Drosophila melanogaster: one gene and its partner. Changing the gene in region 1 together with any one later gene gives a genetic interaction. Each region holds a gene or a part of one and is shown in the gene's direction. Other genes may lie near its edges.

Region 1 (11,703 bases):
CCACTTTCAATTTCATTGGAGCTGGAGGTGGAGCTGCCAATGGCCAATGTCTTTTTCATGGAATTTTCGAGTACCTTGGGTACTTTGGATTTCGATATTGTGGGTGCATTAGGTGGCTCCTTACGCTTGCCTGTATTATTTTTAGGCACAAGCATTTGCCAACCGCCAAAGCCACTTTATCCACTTTATAGCCAAACAGATCGCTCGGCGTAGGTGAGAGATAGGCGGTGCTCCGGTACACAAGTAGTCGTCGTGAATTTGTCCGCTGGCACATCTGCACACTGCGAGAGTTCGATCGCGACTGACCCGGCAGATAACCATAAATTCCGAAACCCAGAAGCAGATTAACAAGTTAAATGACACCATCAATAAGGTCATCAGTGCCCGTAAAAACGACTTGGTTGACACTCCACATTTATATGAAGCATTATTGGCAAGAAATAGGATGCTTTTTACAGAAATTTAATTCTTACTATTACTTTGGCCAAATCAAACATTGCAAATCCCACCATTCTTGACCATGCCGACTTGAAGTCTCTTGTAGAACAGGACACCCCTATTGTCAGCTTAATAGAAGCATCCAAGATGAGGGTCCTCCAGTCCGAGAACAGCATTCATATTATAATTGCCTATCCCAGAGTCAAGTTCGGTTGCAAGAAAGTCGCCGTCTACCCTGTATCTCACCAACATCATCATCTTACGCCTCGACGAGGATACGCTGGCCGAATGCAAGCATGACACCTTTGCGGTCACCGAATGCACAGATACCACACACTACACGTTCTGCGAGCGGTCCCGGCGCGAATCTTGTGCGCGCTCGCTCCACGCAGGAAGCGCAGCCCAATGCCACATTCAACCCAGCTACTTGCAAGAAGTACCTCCCGTAGATGACTGCGTTGTGATTATCAACGAAGCAGCAGCTCGTGTTAGCACCAATGGCAGCCCAGAAATACTAGTCGAGGGAACCCACCTGGTGACCTTCGAGCGAACGGCAAACATCAATGGCTCCGAGTTCGTAAACCTACGAAAAGCAAGCAAGCAGCCAGGCATTGTGCGCTCCCCATTACTTAACATACTTAACACCCTGTACTCAGCATCCCTCTGCTTCACCGGATGAATAACGAGAACCTACTCTCCATCCAAAGCTTTAAGGACGACATGGAATCTGAAGGTTCGCCTAAACTCTGGTTCGTAGCTGGTGTGGTCCTAAACGTTGGGTTAATTGGCTCCTTCGCACTTTATCTGGCATTAAGGAGAAGACGAGCCTCCAGGGAGATACAGCGAACCATCGACACTTTTAACATGACCGAGGACGGTCATAAGCCTGAAGGGGGAGTAGTTAGCAACTGATAATGTAATACTTCACAGCTACTAAGAAGCTTTGTATAAACAATGCTGACGCGCTTCATTCTGCCTAACAACTTTTCAACGAATATAGTATATCCTTTTACTCTAAGAATATCGGGCATCACAAGCAGATAGTAGTGTATATGGATGATAAAGTCGTAGCTACCACAACTGTAGAGGAATTATTTAATTATTAGATCGTATTAGTGAGAACAACAAACAGATTAACCTAAATAAATTTGAAATTTTTAAACCTGAATGAGAATTCCTTGGTTATGAAATGAACCGTACTGGTAGTGAAGCACATCTTGATGCGTTAAAAATAATGTCCTGTATCTCAAAATTTAAGCACCCTTCACTCGTTTCGAATTTCCACCTATTAAAACTAAATGTTTACATATGTATGTAATAACTGTAAGTTGTGGTGCCAATTCACATATTTTAGGATCGGCGGACACAAGCACTCACTTACAAAAGCACAGTTATTTACGTTGCATACAGTATGTCAAGAAACTGTTTACGCACTGTGAAAAAAATTAAACTTTTAACTTTAAAGGTAAAAATTAAGAGTTCTTTGCATACGTAAACTCAATTTTTTATGAAATATAATTAAACAATATTTATTTTACTTATAAATCAAAAAACAAATTAAAAATATTAAATATACAAAAAAAAATAAACAAAAAACACAGAACACTAAATACTTGGGACGACTCGATTCACGATTACATGGTCTTCAAGAAAATAAGCCCTTCTGAGCATCGTGGGTTTTATTTTTTTGTTTTCCAGATTTTTTCCAATATATATATTATTATGATTTAATTGTATTTATTTCCCATGATATCACATTTTTGTTCCAGCCTTTCTCGTTTCAAATTCTTGTCATCTTCTTTTCGCCGTTCCCTCCTTTGATGACTTGGATTCCGGGTCCGCCGTGTGTCTCCTCCAAGTTGTCCTTCTTTCGTTTCTCCTGGTCTCGGCCGGTCTGGATAAGGCGTCACACGATGGTCTGTATCTCAGTAAATTTTCTTCTGCGAAATTGTCGCACATTTATTCACAAATTTGCCTTTACTCATTGGCTTCTGCTCCCAAACACCTTTTTCTTTCTTTTTGCTTCACAAAACTTTTCGCTGAGTTTTGGACTTCTTCCAGAAGTTTCTGTCGCTATCGTTCCCACTCTGTCCCCCTATGGGCGCTTTCAATTTTCGGTTTTAGTTTTGTTAATTATCGTATGTGGCTTTCGTAGCCTTAAATCTAATTCTAAATGCTAACATGCATGCTCGGGTCGCCTAGCCTCGGCCTAAGATAATGCGAACGGGTTCGGTTACATGCAGACACGCAGGCATCGTCGCGGCAACATTGCTAACAAACTCTACAAAAATGATCGGAGTACCTCTCCTTAAACCTTAAATATAAAAAAGAGAGAATACTATAGACAAGTTCCCCGTCTATCAAATACCCGTTACACTGCTAGTGTGAATGCGAACTCTAATTTCATTATTTTTCTGGGATATCGATAGATATTGGGGGAAAAAATGAGAAAAAAATTAAAAATTGTTAAAAAATTTGGCGTGACTGGTATGGCGGCTTTAGGGCGTTAAAGTGGGCGTGGCAAAAATCGATAGAAATTTAAGCGACATATACAATTATGAAAAAATATCCAACAATTTTTTTAAAAATGTGGGCGTAGCAGTTTAAACAGTATATTTAAAACTAACTTGTATTATATGTATCTTCTCCTGGAAGTATGTATGTCTGTATGTATAACTAAAATATGAAGCAATGCATGTAGCCAATTGAAATTTGACAGGGTGCTGTAGCTGATGAAACTTCTGTTGCTTTTGGAGCTTCAGCTGAAGAAAAAATGTCGAAAAAAGTAACTAAAACAGCATCAGCTCATTTCTTTTCTAGTAGTGCAAAGTAGAAATTTTACTTAAATCGATAAAAAAATTATAACGTGGCCAAAATATTTTTTTGCTATACATATAGATAGATATTGGCAAGAAAAATACTAAGACAGTAAAATCAAAAGTAGCATAAATCTCTAGCAACAAAAGTTAGGTTTTTTTAAGCATGTTAAAGCAAAAGTTTCCAACGTTAATCTCGTGATTTCTTTTGTGAGTGATGTTACCTCCCACCAATTTTTGTAATTTTCCTTCTTAACTTTCAGAGTTTATTGTCATGAATTTAAGTATGCAGTCCCGTGTGCTGTTGTTGTGCTAACGTATTAAAAATGTATTTTTTTGTAGAAGTGGTATTCAGAGTCAGAAAATTTATTGTGCTAATTGGGGTAAGTTACCTATTTAACAAATCATTGTAATTCGTTTTACCATAAGAAAATTTTGCCATTTAAGCCAAATGCGATTCATTTCAGTATTCAATTATTTTTTAATTATTTTAAATAAAACTCAAAGTAATGATTTACAGTTTTTTCCACAGTTGTTCTTTGTATATAACCAAACTTCAATTAGAGAGAAGAATCCCGTGGGAATCATTCGAAAGTGATTTCTGGAACAGGGCCGATAACTAAATATCTTAAGAGTTCTATATTCGTCGGTAGTTGACTAATACCTTAAATTCAGGCTTTCCCTGCATGTTAGCTCTTTATTACAATCGATAGTAATAAGTACAATCGATAGTAGAGTCGATGAATATGCGGATCGAGGAAAGGCAGAACATTTAACGTACTAGTAAATAGTACATTTAAGAGAAAAGGAAAAGGTTGCACAGTATAATTTGAGAGTGGAAAAAAGGTATTTACGGTATTTCTTATGGTGAACTGTCTAATTTCGCCGGCCTCTAGGGATTCGTTGTTCTTATCATTACCACTTTCAATTTCATTGGAGCTGGAGGTGGAGCTGCCAATGGCCAATGTCTTTTTCATGGAATTTTCGAGTACCTTGGGTACTTTGGATTTCGATATTGTGGGTGCATTAGGTGGCTCCTTACGCTTGCCTGTATTATTTTTAGGCACAAGCATTTGCCAACCGCCAAAGCCACTTTATCCACTTTATAGCCAAACAGATCGCTCGGCGTAGGTGAGAGATAGGCGGTGCTCCGGTACACAAGTAGTCGTCGTGAATTTGTCCGCTGGCACATCTGCACACTGCGAGAGTTCGATCGCGACTGACCCGGCAGATAACCATAAATTCCGAAACCCAGAAGCAGATTAACAAGTTAAATGACACCATCAATAAGGTCATCAGTGCCCGTAAAAACGACTTGGTTGACACTCCACATTTATATGAAGCATTATTGGCAAGAAATAGGATGCTTTTTACAGAAATTTAATTCTTACTATTACTTTGGCCAAATCAAACATTGCAAATCCCACCATTCTTGACCATGCCGACTTGAAGTCTCTTGTAGAACAGGACACCCCTATTGTCAGCTTAATAGAAGCATCCAAGATGAGGGTCCTCCAGTCCGAGAACAGCATTCATATTATAATTGCCTATCCCAGAGTCAAGTTCGGTTGCAAGAAAGTCGCCGTCTACCCTGTATCTCACCAACATCATCATCTTACGCCTCGACGAGGATACGCTGGCCGAATGCAAGCATGACACCTTTGCGGTCACCGAATGCACAGATACCACACACTACACGTTCTGCGAGCGGTCCCGGCGCGAATCTTGTGCGCGCTCGCTCCACGCAGGAAGCGCAGCCCAATGCCACATTCAACCCAGCTACTTGCAAGAAGTACCTCCCGTAGATGACTGCGTTGTGATTATCAACGAAGCAGCAGCTCGTGTTAGCACCAATGGCAGCCCAGAAATACTAGTCGAGGGAACCCACCTGGTGACCTTCGAGCGAACGGCAACCATCAATGGCTCCGAGTTCGTAAACCTACGAAAAGCAAGCAAGCAGCCAGGCATTGTGCGCTCCCCATTACTTAACATACTTAACACCCTGTACTCAGCATCCCTCTGCTTCACCGGATGAATAACGAGAACCTACTCTCCATCCAAAGCTTTAAGGACGACATGGAATCTGAAGGTTCGCCTAAACTCTGGTTCGTAGCTGGTGTGGTCCTAAACGTTGGGTTAATTGGCTCCTTCGCACTTTATCTGGCATTAAGGAGAAGACGAGCCTCCAGGGAGATACAGCGAACCATCGACACTTTTAACATGACCGAGGACGGTCATAAGCCTGAAGGGGGAGTAGTTAGCAACTGATAATGTAATACTTCACAGCTACTAAGAAGCTTTGTATAAACAATGCTGACGCGCTTCATTCTGCCTAACAACTTTTCAACGAATCTAGTATATCCTTTTACTCTAAGAATAACGGGCATCACAAGCAGATAGTAGTGTATATGGATGATAAAGTCGTAGCTACCACAACTGTAGAGGAATTATTTAATTATTAGATCGTATTAGTGAGAACAACAAACAGATTAACCTAAATAAATTTGAAATTTTTAAACCTGAATGAGAATTCCTTGGTTATGAAATGAACCGTACTGGTAGTGAAGCACATCTTGATGCGTTAAAAATAATGTCCTGTATCTCAAAATTTAAGCACCCTTCACTCGTTTCGAATTTCCACCTATTAAAACTAAATGTTTACATATGTATGTAATAACTGTAAGTTGTGGTGCCAATTCACATATTTTAGGATCGGCGGACACAAGCACTCACTTACAAAAGCACAGTTATTTACGTTGCATACAGTATGTCAAGAAACTGTTTACGCACTGTGAAAAAAATTAAACTTTTAACTTTAAAGGTAAAAATTAAGAGTTCTTTGCATACGTAAACTCAATTTTTTATGAAATATAATTAAACAATATTTATTTTACTTATAAATCAAAAAACAAATTAAAAATATTAAATATACAAAAAAAAATAAACAAAAAACACAGAACACTAAATACTTGGGACGACTCGATTCACGATTACATGGTCTTCAAGAAAATAAGCCCTTCTGAGCATCGTGGGTTTTATTTTTTTGTTTTCCAGATTTTTTCCAATATATATATTATTATGATTTAATTGTATTTATTTCCCATGATATCACATTTTTGTTCCAGCCTTTCTCGTTTCAAATTCTTGTCATCTTCTTTTCGCCGTTCCCTCCTTTGATGACTTGGATTCCGGGTCCGCCGTGTGTCTCCTCCAAGTTGTCCTTCTTTCGTTTCTCCTGGTCTCGGCCGGTCTGGATAAGGCGTCACACGATGGTCTGTATCTCAGTAAATTTTCTTCTGCGAAATTGTCGCACATTTATTCACAAATTTGCCTTTACTCATTGGCTTCTGCTCCCAAACACCTTTTTCTTTCTTTTTGCTTCACAAAACTTTTCGCTGAGTTTTGGACTTCTTCCAGAAGTTTCTGTCGCTATCGTTCCCACTCTGTCCCCCTATGGGCGCTTTCAATTTTCGGTTTTAGTTTTGTTAATTATCGTATGTGGCTTTCGTAGCCTTAAATCTAATTCTAAATGCTAACATGCATGCTCGGGTCGCCTAGCCTCGGCCTAAGATAATGCGAACGGGTTCGGTTACATGCAGACACGCAGGCATCGTCGCGGCAACATTGCTAACAAACTCTACAAAAATGATCGGAGTACCTCTCCTTAAACCTTAAATATAAAAAAGAGAGAATACTATAGACAAGTTCCCCGTCTATCAAATACCCGTTACACTGCTAGTGTGAATGCGAACTCTAATTTCATTATTTTTCTGGGATATCGATAGATATTGGGGGAAAAAATGAGAAAAAAATTAAAAATTGTTAAAAAATTTGGCGTGACTGGTATGGCGGCTTTAGGGCGTTAAAGTGGGCGTGGCAAAAATCGATAGAAATTTAAGCGACATATACAATTATGAAAAAATATCCAACAATTTTTTTAAAAATGTGGGCGTAGCAGTTTAAACAGTATATTTAAAACTAACTTGTATTATATGTATCTTCTCCTGGAAGTATGTATGTCTGTATGTATAACTAAAATATGAAGCAATGCATGTAGCCAATTGAAATTTGACAGGGTGCTGTAGCTGATGAAACTTCTGTTGCTTTTGGAGCTTCAGCTGAAGAAAAAATGTCGAAAAAAGTAACTAAAACAGCATCAGCTCATTTCTTTTCTAGTAGTGCAAAGTAGAAATTTTACTTAAATCGATAAAAAAATTATAACGTGGCCAAAATATTTTTTTGCTATACATATAGATAGATATTGGCAAGAAAAATACTAAGACAGTAAAATCAAAAGTAGCATAAATCTCTAGCAACAAAAGTTAGGTTTTTTTAAGCATGTTAAAGCAAAAGTTTCCAACGTTAATCTCGTGATTTCTTTTGTGAGTGATGTTACCTCCCACCAATTTTTGTAATTTTCCTTCTTAACTTTCAGAGTTTATTGTCATGAATTTAAGTATGCAGTCCCGTGTGCTGTTGTTGTGCTAACGTATTAAAAATGTATTTTTTTGTAGAAGTGGTATTCAGAGTCAGAAAATTTATTGTGCTAATTGGGGTAAGTTACCTATTTAACAAATCATTGTAATTCGTTTTACCATAAGAAAATTTTGCCATTTAAGCCAAATGCGATTCATTTCAGTATTCAATTATTTTTTAATTATTTTAAATAAAACTCAAAGTAATGATTTACAGTTTTTTCCACAGTTGTTCTTTGTATATAACCAAACTTCAATTAGAGAGAAGAATCCCGTGGGAATCATTCGAAAGTGATTTCTGGAACAGGGCCGATAACTAAATATCTTAAGAGTTCTATATTCGTCGGTAGTTGACTAATACCTTAAATTCAGGCTTTCCCTGCATGTTAGCTCTTTATTACAATCGATAGTAATAAGTACAATCGATAGTAGAGTCGATGAATATGCGGATCGAGGAAAGGCAGAACATTTAACGTACTAGTAAATAGTACATTTAAGAGAAAAGGAAAAGGTTGCACAGTATAATTTGAGAGTGGAAAAAAGGTATTTACGGTATTTCTTATGGTGAACTGTCTAATTTCGCCGGCCTCTAGGGATTCGTTGTTCTTATCATTACCACTTTCAATTTCATTGGAGCTGGAGGTGGAGCTGCCAATGGCCAATGTCTTTTTCATGGAATTTTCGAGTACCTTGGGTACTTTGGATTTCGATATTGTGGGTGCATTAGGTGGCTCCTTACGCTTGCCTGTATTATTTTTAGGCACAAGCATTTGCCAACCGCCAAAGCCACTTTATCCACTTTATAGCCAAACAGATCGCTCGGCGTAGGTGAGAGATAGGCGGTGCTCCGGTACACAAGTAGTCGTCGTGAATTTGTCCGCTGGCACATCTGCACACTGCGAGAGTTCGATCGCGACTGACCCGGCAGATAACCATAAATTCCGAAACCCAGAAGCAGATTAACAAGTTAAATGACACCATCAATAAGGTCATCAGTGCCCGTAAAAACGACTTGGTTGACACTCCACATTTATATGAAGCATTATTGGCAAGAAATAGGATGCTTTTTACAGAAATTTAATTCTTACTATTACTTTGGCCAAATCAAACATTGCAAATCCCACCATTCTTGACCATGCCGACTTGAAGTCTCTTGTAGAACAGGACACCCCTATTGTCAGCTTAATAGAAGCATCCAAGATGAGGGTCCTCCAGTCCGAGAACAGCATTCATATTATAATTGCCTATCCCAGAGTCAAGTTCGGTTGCAAGAAAGTCGCCGTCTACCCTGTATCTCACCAACATCATCATCTTACGCCTCGACGAGGATACGCTGGCCGAATGCAAGCATGACACCTTTGCGGTCACCGAATGCACAGATACCACACACTACACGTTCTGCGAGCGGTCCCGGCGCGAATCTTGTGCGCGCTCGCTCCACGCAGGAAGCGCAGCCCAATGCCACATTCAACCCAGCTACTTGCAAGAAGTACCTCCCGTAGATGACTGCGTTGTGATTATCAACGAAGCAGCAGCTCGTGTTAGCACCAATGGCAGCCCAGAAATACTAGTCGAGGGAACCCACCTGGTGACCTTCGAGCGAACGGCAACCATCAATGGCTCCGAGTTCGTAAACCTACGAAAAGCAAGCAAGCAGCCAGGCATTGTGCGCTCCCCATTACTTAACATACTTAACACCCTGTACTCAGCATCCCTCTGCTTCACCGGATGAATAACGAGAACCTACTCTCCATCCAAAGCTTTAAGGACGACATGGAATCTGAAGGTTCGCCTAAACTCTGGTTCGTAGCTGGTGTGGTCCTAAACGTTGGGTTAAGTGGCTCCTTCGCACTTTATCTGGCATTAAGGAGAAGACGAGCCTCCAGGGAGATACAGCGAACCATCGACACTTTTAACATGACCGAGGACGGTCATAAGCCTGAAGGGGGAGTAGTTAGCAACTGATAATGTAATACTTCACAGCTACTAAGAAGCTTTGTATAAACAATGCTGACGCGCTTCATTCTGCCTAACAACTTTTCAACGAATCTAGTATATCCTTTTACTCTAAGAATAACGGGCATCACAAGCAGATAGTAGTGTATATGGATGATAAAGTCGTAGCTACCACAACTGTAGAGGAATTATTTAATTATTAGATCGTATTAGTGAGAACAACAAACAGATTAACCTAAATAAATTTGAAATTTTTAAACCTGAATGAGAATTCCTTGGTTATGAAATGAACCGTACTGGTAGTGAAGCACATCTTGATGCGTTAAAAATAATGTCCTGTATCTCAAAATTTAAGCACCCTTCACTCGTTTCGAATTTCCACCTATTAAAACTAAATGTTTACATATGTATGTAATAACTGTAAGTTGTGGTGCCAATTCACATATTTTAGGATCGGCGGACACAAGCACTCACTTACAAAAGCACAGTTATTTACGTTGCATACAGTATGTCAAGAAACTGTTTACGCACTGTGAAAAAAATTAAACTTTTAACTTTAAAGGTAAAAATTAAGAGTTCTTTGCATACGTAAACTCAATTTTTTATGAAATATAATTAAACAATATTTATTTTACTTATAAATCAAAAAACAAATTAAAAATATTAAATATACAAAAAAAATAAACAAAAAACACAGAACACTAAATACTTGGGACGACTCGATTCACGATTACATGGTCTTCAAGAAAATAAGCCCTTCTGAGCATCGTGGGTTTTATTTTTTTGTTTTCCAGATTTTTTCCAATATATATATTATTATGATTTAATTGTATTTATTTCCCATGATATCACATTTTTGTTCCAGCCTTTCTCGTTTCAAATTCTTGTCATCTTCTTTTCGCCGTTCCCTCCTTTGATGACTTGGATTCCGGGTCCGCCGTGTGTCTCCTCCAAGTTGTCCTTCTTTCGTTTCTCCTGGTCTCGGCCGGTCTGGATAAGGCGTCACACGATGGTCTGTATCCCAGTAAATTTTCTTCTGCGAAATTGTCGCACATTTATTCACAAATTTGCCTTTACTCATTGGCTTCTGCTCCCAAACACCTTTTTCGTTCTTTTTGCTTCACAAAACTTTTCGCTGAGTTTTGGACTTCTTCCAGAAGTTTCTGTCGCTATCGTTCCCACTCTGTCCCCCTATGGGCGCTTTCAATTTTCGGTTTTAGTTTTGTTAATTATCGTATGTGGCTTTCGTAGCCTTAAATCTAATTCTAAATGCTAACATGCATGCTCGGGTCGCCTAGCCTCGGCCTAAGATAATGCGAACGGGTTCGGTTACATGCAGACACGCAGGCATCGTCGCGGCAACATTGCTAACAAACTCTACAAAAATGATCGGAGTACCTCTCCTTAAACCTTAAATATAAAAAAGAGAGAATACTATAGACAAGTTCCCCGTCTATCAAATACCCGTTACACTGCTAGTGTGAATGCGAACTCTAATTTCATTATTTTTCTGGGATATCGATAGATATTGGGGGAAAAAATGAGAAAAAAATTAAAAATTGTTAAAAAATTTGGCGTGACTGGTATGGCGGCTTTAGGGCGTTAAAGTGGGCGTGGCAAAAATCGATAGAAATTTAAGCGACATATACAATTATGAAAAAATATCCAACAATTTTTTTAAAAATGTGGGCGTAGCAGTTTAAACAGTATATTTAAAACTAACTTGTATTATATGTATCTTCTCCTGGAAGTATGTATGTCTGTATGTATAACTAAAATATGAAGCAATGCATGTAGCCAATTGAAATTTGACAGGTGGCTGTAGCTGATGAAACTTCTGTTGCTTTTGGAGCTTCAGCTGAAGAAAAAATGTCGAAAAAAGTAACTAAAACAGCATCAGCTCATTTCTTTTCTAGTAGTGCAAAGTAGAAATTTTACTTAAATCGATAAAAAAATTATAACGTGGCCAAAATATTTTTTTGCTATACATATAGATAGATATTGGCAAGAAAAATACT
Region 2 (7,651 bases), on another chromosome or scaffold:
TCCTCGTTGTCGTAATAGTCGGAATCGCGGGCGCAACTGGGACCAAGTTCCATTTTCACCATCTTGTCGCGCCAAAAGTCGAGAAGCTCTTTGGTGAGAACCTCATCCCTCAGATTGAAAATCCAACTGTTGTAGTCGTCGGGCCCATAGAAACCAGCATCACCCTTGTACTCCTGCAGCAGCTCGGCGGCCTTGTTTTGATCCTCCGCTGAGGGTGTGCCATCGAAGAGCAGCTTCCAGATTATCTCCCTGGCGGCTGCCGCTATCTTCTTCACGCTGGCCTGGTGAACGCTGTCCGGAACGATGATTTTGGTCAGAACAAAGCGCTTCATTAGAGTTCGGTATTCCTCGAGCGGATTTTCCTTGGTCAGGGTGGCCTCAAATTCGCCAGACAGAGCGGCGGCATCATCGGCACTCAGTTCACCCGGAGTTGTAGGCGTCGCTGGCCCATCCTGATCCAGCGAAGCCTGCTCCTCGAGTGCTGCGCGCACCTTTAAGCTGGCTGCAAATGGAGCGGTACAACCGGCATGGGCATAGAACTCCAATGGCGGGGTGTCGTCGCTGTCAAAGAGATCACTGTCGCGTGACCAACAGGGACCGAGTTGCTTCTTCACCAGCACATCGCGCCAAAAGTCGAGGAGTTCCTTCTTTAGAACCTCATCCCTCAGCTTGACAATCCATTCGTTGTACGGCGTCGGGTCGTAGAAGCAGGCGTCACCACGGTATTCCTCCAGCAATTGGCTGGCCTTCTCTGTGTTCGATTGCGAGGTACCGGCCTCGTCGAATAACAGCCGCCAGATGACGTCACGCGCCGCTGCAGCCGTTCGATCGAAATTCTCCTTGGTGACATCATCATCCACGATTTCGTCTACCTGCACGCGTGTTTCGATAAGCTTTTGGTAATCCTTAACGGGATCCACCAGGCCAATGGTGTAATCGTTCTGTCCAGACAATAGTTGTTATTGTTTGTAAACTATTTTTGTTTATTTTCTATGGCTGTTGCTTATTACCTGTGCTACTTTCTCGGCCGTTGCCATTTTGTCGGATTGTGTGTCCTCGGCCTTGCGCTTGGACATTCCCCTCTGGATAAATTGGCGATTTAAGGTTCTTCGAAGTAAAGCGTTTAAAATCGTTGGGCTATTGATCGTCACTTCTGTCGGAAAGAGATAAGATGACTAATTCAGATCGCCGCTTGCTGTTGCGATACTACGAATGTAAATAGTAGGGTAGTTCTTTTCAATAGAGAATAATTTTAATTGGAATATTCTCGGAAGGACAGACCAAGAATCAAAATAAGACGACTTATTGGATGAATAAGAAAAGAAAGTATGTGACATATTGAAAATATTATATATTTTATGTCGGTTTATAAATAAATATATATGTATATATATTGTACAACTTCCTTTAAAATCACATCTTACATTTAAAATAAAAAAAACTGTTTTTAAAAGACAATTGCAAAATAGGTAATTAAATTATTACAAAAAAGTATCGATTCTGCCCGCAATCGATGTTTATCTAACACTTAATTGCACTCGATACTATCGGCTCTATCGAGTGTTCGAGATTATCGAATATAATCACCATCCGTGTCTACCAACACAAACGAGCGAATTGTTCGCAACGCCTACTTCGATTACAAGTACTTTGCTCTTGGAAATCGGTAGAAAAAATTGTGCAATCCGTGCTGGAAACTACAGATATTATTTTCGCCCGATTAATTCATGTCAAATTGATAGATTCATCTTATACCATTGGTTCCGCCCCGTGCTGACTGTGTTTGTGTGTGTGTGTGCGTGACAGACACAAAGAAATTTGAGGTTAAGCTGCAGATGAATTTTGCGTTAATGTCGCTGAAAAACCAAAGTTTAACAATCCTATTCAATAAAAAACACTTAAGCTAAAGATACAATCAATTTACAGTTGCAATAAGAGCAATAGTTGTGTCGTAAAAGGCAACACACACCAGCCAATTGCATTCGTGGAATTCGTGTCGGTGAGAGTCTCGCGGTGCGTCTGTGTGTGCGTGTGGACGTGAATTCAATTTTCTCGTGCACGAAAAGCAACGAAAAAGCTTCAAAAGTTATACTCAAATGTGTATGGCAATTGTGGTAAGTGCGGCAGGGGATCGGCTACAGCCGCAAGTTTTTAAATAATACATTTTTGTTGCATAAATTGTTTCGAACGTCAACGAACACTCGCACAACTACTGAGCCACAAAGTATGTGTGCTTGTGTGCGTGCGTTGGCATTTACATTCAATTTTTTTCGTTTAAACAATTTCTAACTGGATTTTGTTTGTTTTATTCGAAAAATAGTCTTAAAAAACATGTTGGCATTAGAAATAGTTTCTGGAATTTGTTTAAATTTTTTTTTAGTATATATCAACCAGTTACATTTTTATTTGTCTGTGCAAAAACTATAAACAATTGTCATCTTGTAAAACTAGAATATGTTATAAACTAATTGTGTTTACGTTTTTTATAAATATGAATGTGAACTTTTTAAATGTATTCTTCTCAAAATACCAACAAATCTGTGTAATTGCTATGAATAATATTCTTTTCTTCGCAATCAAATTAATCGAATTGCAAATTCTGCTGTGCTTGCATAAAAAACGTTAAGGAAAGTAATGTAATGTCCCATTTGTTATCATACACAACAATCATATACTTCAATAAATGGGTAACTTCACGCATTTTACTTTCATTCGACCCAGTTACCTGGTTAACTGCCTTCGCCAGTTGAAAATAAATGTCAGCTGACCCAGTTTTACCATCCGAACGGAACTAGGACGGGACCAAAACTATTTTGCACTGCACCAGTTAAAGTTTATTTCTCTTATTTTTTTTGGCAGTTTTTATCATCTTCATACGTCATTTGCTAGGTACATACACGTAGATTCTAATCTAATATCTAATCTGTTGAAGACATTTCGAGCAGATTTATATCATATCAAAGCGGCAGAGCAAACAGTAAACAAAAGACATGGCCGAGAGAAATTGTTTTTTTTAGAACAAAACAGCCAAATCAGTTGGCATTTTATACTGAACAAATGTGGACGGAGCAAAGTTGTAGTGCAAAAAGATTGCCTTCGTTCATAGCTTTCAATTTTACAATCAGTTGTTACTCAACAAGGTTTGGCTGTGATTTGCTGTTATCTCGAATTTTCGCATTTTTTCCACCTGTGTTTATCTTGATCGCACTGTTTGCTAATCGATATCAGCAAATTGCGTCAATTGGTATTGAAAGCGGTATAAGCGGTATAGAAATGGAACCTGGCAACTGAAACTGTCCCATACGCACCAAAGGAATATCAATTATACGCCAACCGGTGGTTGAAAATCCCAACGATATCCATTTTTTAACCGGTTCTCTTGTCAGATTTCTTGTGCTCTCTCCCTTTTATTTCCGTTTGGGGTCTCTTGTCCTTGAACAAGTTCAATGATAGTGCCCCGGCCACGGCAATACAAACAAAAGAAAGAAAAGAATCTCTTTCGGTTTCATTCTCTCTTTTTATTTATCCGTGATAAAAAAGAGCGAGCAGATAAGCGTATCAGCCAAGGGAAGAATTTTAAAATCCGGTTTGACTTTATCAAAAATATACCGAACAAACTCATACGAAAAGACGTCATAACTTGAACGCATCGATTACAAAACTCGATTAATTTGGTAGGGTTCCTTTCAATCATACAGATATACATTTTTCAAGATTGAATACCTATCTATCTAGCATTGCATTAAATTCCATTTTCTTATCAAGAGTACTACTACATGTATCTCAACTCAGTGTAGAGATTACGTATACGCTTCTTGGTTATTTTGTATTCCAGCTGTTTGTATTTTGTTGTCTGGGTTTATCTGCTTTCCGCCAGTTCTAAAATATTCCATATTCCCACGCACACAATCGAATCGAAAGCCAATTGAATTCCTCGAAATGTGTGGCAATACTTTCGTTCATTGAAATGCTTCCAGCAAATTTGTTTGAGGTCATTTTGATTTAGTGCAATTTATTGGATCTTTCTGAACATCTTCAACATCTTCTTAATTTTTGTTGTTGTGCGATAAATTTGCTTACTCGACAATTACCGAAATTAAACTTATTTAAAATTTACAACTTTCACTGCTCCGTGATCTGTAACCAAATCTATAAATGTGTCAAGTTGTAATTATAGAAATTCTCAAAATTAATTGAATGTAGATAAATGTATATTTCACGGTCTTTTGAGGTCATACTCGTACAGTAGCGGCAGCTTAAATTCTACAGCCAGCTAATTAAATACACTCGCACATTAGTTAGGAAGAAGTCAAGAACTCGCTAATTAGAAATATCGAAGTAGCATGAGAGTTGCGAACTTTCAGACTACTTTTCGCGGTTATATATCATTGTGCTGTATTATTTTTTTTTTTTTTTTTACTGCTGTCACGTTTTGGCCGCTTGTGTGCAGAATTTCACCAATACATGTCATATCCAAAAATAGACCAAAAAGCGAACAACAAAGCATGCAATACGATTTACAAACGTCAGTGGAGGGTGGAGGGTGGTAGATTGGTGGAAAATGGGAGGGGAAAATGTCACCGACCACCCCCGGATTCTATATATAGTGCGCGATAAATGCGGCGCTGTTTGTCCTCAATAGTTTTGGCCTGCCCTTGGTTAAGGTACACAGTACCCAAAACTAACCAGGAAAATGGCACTTTTTTGTTGATGTACTATGCATGTATGTACGTAATCCTTGTCTGTAAATCAACCTTGAAGGACCTGCAATTTGTGGCAGGAGAAGGCATGCATTCGATAATTGCAATAACGAGACAAGATTGCTTATTTATTTTTGTTTTGGTTGCATTTTATCAAAACAAAACAACAACAGCTGTTTTCCGATTAAAAGTCGTTGATGACGCATGAGAAGTCGCCGCCTGGTGCGTCACGAAAAACAGCGCGACCACTTGGCAACTAGAAAAAGGCGGTTTGAGATCCTAGTTGCCCCCGTGGTGGGGCCACCATTTCCTGCTCATCTCCTCCTGGTTCGCAGCACTCGAGACGCTTCGGGGCAAACTTAAAATTTCCATTATGGCGAAATACGGAAATCGCGGATGGATGGAGATGGAGATGGTGTTGGTGCTGGGGCTTGGACATCGCCCTTCCTCCTTTGCTAGTCGCGCAAAATCAATAACTCGAGCTTGGTCTGTGTTTTTTTTTGCTGTCTTTTCATTTGACTTGGGTTTCCAATACCCATACTTATCTGATCTGAAAGCGTGCCGCGAATATCTAAGGTGAACAAAACTTAGAAAAGTTTTGGTTTTCATGTGTTTGGCAGTACAAAAAAGGTTCTTGCTTGCTTTATATCTATATCTATATCTATCTATATCTCGTATCTATCTATATCTATCTATCTATATCAATCTATCTATATCAATCTTCTTGACTATACATTTATTGTAAGATGAATTTATATCTATTGATCCTAAATCATTTACAATTATTCTCAATATTCATTTAAGATACCAATGATTCCAATGATTTAAGTTCCAAGTTGGTAACAGTGTACTGTTTTATTGAATGTTTAGTCTACCAGCTTTCTACCCCATGTAGGTAGCTAGTTTTTGTTTTTTTAATAAGTGTATAAGACTTAATGTATTCTTAGTGTCTGCGTTATGTCTGGCTTTTTTTTTCGGCACGTCTCCGGTTTTATTGACACCCGTGGACAGACTTTAGCTTAGTAAGTTGAGGCTTGAGTGGCAGTTACCCTCATCACATTTCCCGTCCGTTAGTCATTTTCAATTTGTTTACAACCTTTTACTACTATTTTTTGCAAGTCTGTGATTATTGGCGTAAATCGGGCGATCTTGTTTGCCAGGATTGCAGTCGAAGTCTAAACAAAAACTGAAAGAGGGGACAAACAAAAAAAAAAAAAAAGAAAAGGGAACTGGAATTGAAGTACTTTGAACCCCGAATCCAAACTCAGACACACCGGCATTCAGTTGTGTTTGCTTTCTTACCTCCAGATTTCATCGGTTCCTTGTTCTTTGTTTCCTTCTTGTCTGGCCCTCGGTCTAAGTCGTCTGCTCCTGTTTCGGGAAAGTCCAATCAACTTTCCGCACAGACAAAACCATCTGCTACCTCGGAGAGAACAAAAAGTATTTTTTGTCAAAGATACAATAGTCTGTTAAGAAGTTTTGTCTAATTGCACGAATATCTTTATGTTGATTTGAATCAAAAGTTTGATTTCATTAAACTCGTCGTTTAAAGACATTATGATGTATTAACTGATTGGAAAATGTATTTGAAAATCTGTGTATGTAGCGAGGAGCATTCAAGTGGAACAAATGTGTACATATGTATGCATGTATGTTTGTATATAGCGAGTAACAATATAGCCGCAATTTGGTATTAGTGTCGTCATGCCATTTGCCTACATCTCGATTATAATCAACTGGTTTAAATGTAAGACTAATTTCATATTAAGTTACACGTTTGTGTGCGCCGTAGCCTTCATTAACTGTGCATAATATAAACCGCATTTAGCTTTGTTTATTGCCCTTAAATAACGACTGACCTTGGCATCCCGTAAAAGTTATAATCTGACTGCAAAACTTTCCTTCGCTGTATTTGAACACTTTCCAAGTCAGGTAGCTAGATGGGGAAAAAAACCTTTATATGCTAAAGATCTTATCAATCATTTATTTATTCCCCGATTTAAAAAGCGTTTCCACACAGTTATTTGAATATCCTACGGATTATATGTCTATAAGCATTTTGGCACTTTAAAATACCAAGCCATTAACGCGAAATAATTTGTATTGGTCATAAATATAAGTGTTTGTTAGGTAATGTCAATATGATTTGCGTTTCTTCGAAAATACAGGTATATTCAAAATTTTAGTAGAGTTTATTTTCGAAACTTATTTCAGAGACGAAGTCGAAAAAAATATTTTAAGATCTATATTTAAAAAGAACAGAATACAAACTAACTTGTTGTCTAGTTTCTAAAATTAAACAATTTAACATTTTAAAATAAATACCCTCGTGATTTTAAATCAGAACTACTTATATTGTCACTACTATACCAGAACGAATAAAATGCTTTAAAATTTAAACATTTTTAGTAAGCACAAAATTCGCCCTTTCATGGTCCATTGAACTCTGCTAATTATGTTCAACAGTAGAAAAGTAAAACTAACCAAGCAAATTGTTTCTATTTTTCCTGCCTCTATTGTTTTTGCACAACAGACTTTTTAAAGCGCTTTAAATATGCACCAGACTGTAGATAATTTTTTTTCGCTCTCTGCGTGAGCGATTGGAGAGATGTGCGTCACGACTCTCTCTTCGTTCTCCCCGGCAATGGAGACTTACTGCCGGACGGAGCGGCCGTTTCCGTGGCGTAAAATGGGCGGCGAAGAGTTGACAATCGCCAGTCGATAGCAAAACATGAGAGAGTGCTCATCACGCAGCAATACGCGTCTACTTATTGTGGTAATCGTAATCGATCAACGTCTCAGAATCGACACTTGTCGATATTTAATCGAGATACTATCTCGCCGTATAACGGGCGATTAACGATAGGTAAATACAATTTATCCGCTGGCAAATCTGAATGTGGAGGACCAATCCTCAGTATATTCGAATTAACTGATAGGAGAGAAAGCTT

Evidence for each region. A genetic interaction does not mean that the proteins touch.
Region 2: of uex (region 1) and PRL-1, changing one suppresses a phenotype caused by changing the other (phenotypic suppression), as found in Drosophila melanogaster (one study listed by BioGRID).

The regions. Positions count from the first base shown.
Region 1 is NT_033778.4:3,944,169-3,955,871, reverse strand, and holds the start of uex (unextended), read left to right. Parts: upstream 1-6,446; 5' UTR 6,447-6,526; exon of another isoform or gene 6,527-7,024; intron 7,025-7,650; exon of another isoform or gene 7,651-8,272; intron 8,273-11,703. UniProt on the Drosophila melanogaster protein: Probable metal transporter. Acts downstream of PRL-1 and protects the nervous system against olfactory carbon dioxide stimulation.
Region 2 is NT_033779.5:16,251,539-16,259,189, reverse strand, and holds the start of PRL-1 (PRL-1 phosphatase), read left to right. Parts: upstream 1-1,583; 5' UTR 1,584-2,114; intron 2,115-3,034; exon of another isoform or gene 3,035-3,140; intron 3,141-7,401; exon of another isoform or gene 7,402-7,431; coding exon of another isoform or gene 7,432-7,560; exon of another isoform or gene 7,561-7,651. Other genes in the region: EndoGI (endonuclease G inhibitor), read right to left, coding at 1-941, 1,011-1,076; CG46309 (uncharacterized protein), read left to right, coding at 7,432-7,560. UniProt on the Drosophila melanogaster protein: Probable phosphatase. Inhibits growth possibly by negatively regulating Src64B-induced growth. Regulates central nervous system circuit formation and stabilization of synapse-dense terminal arbors.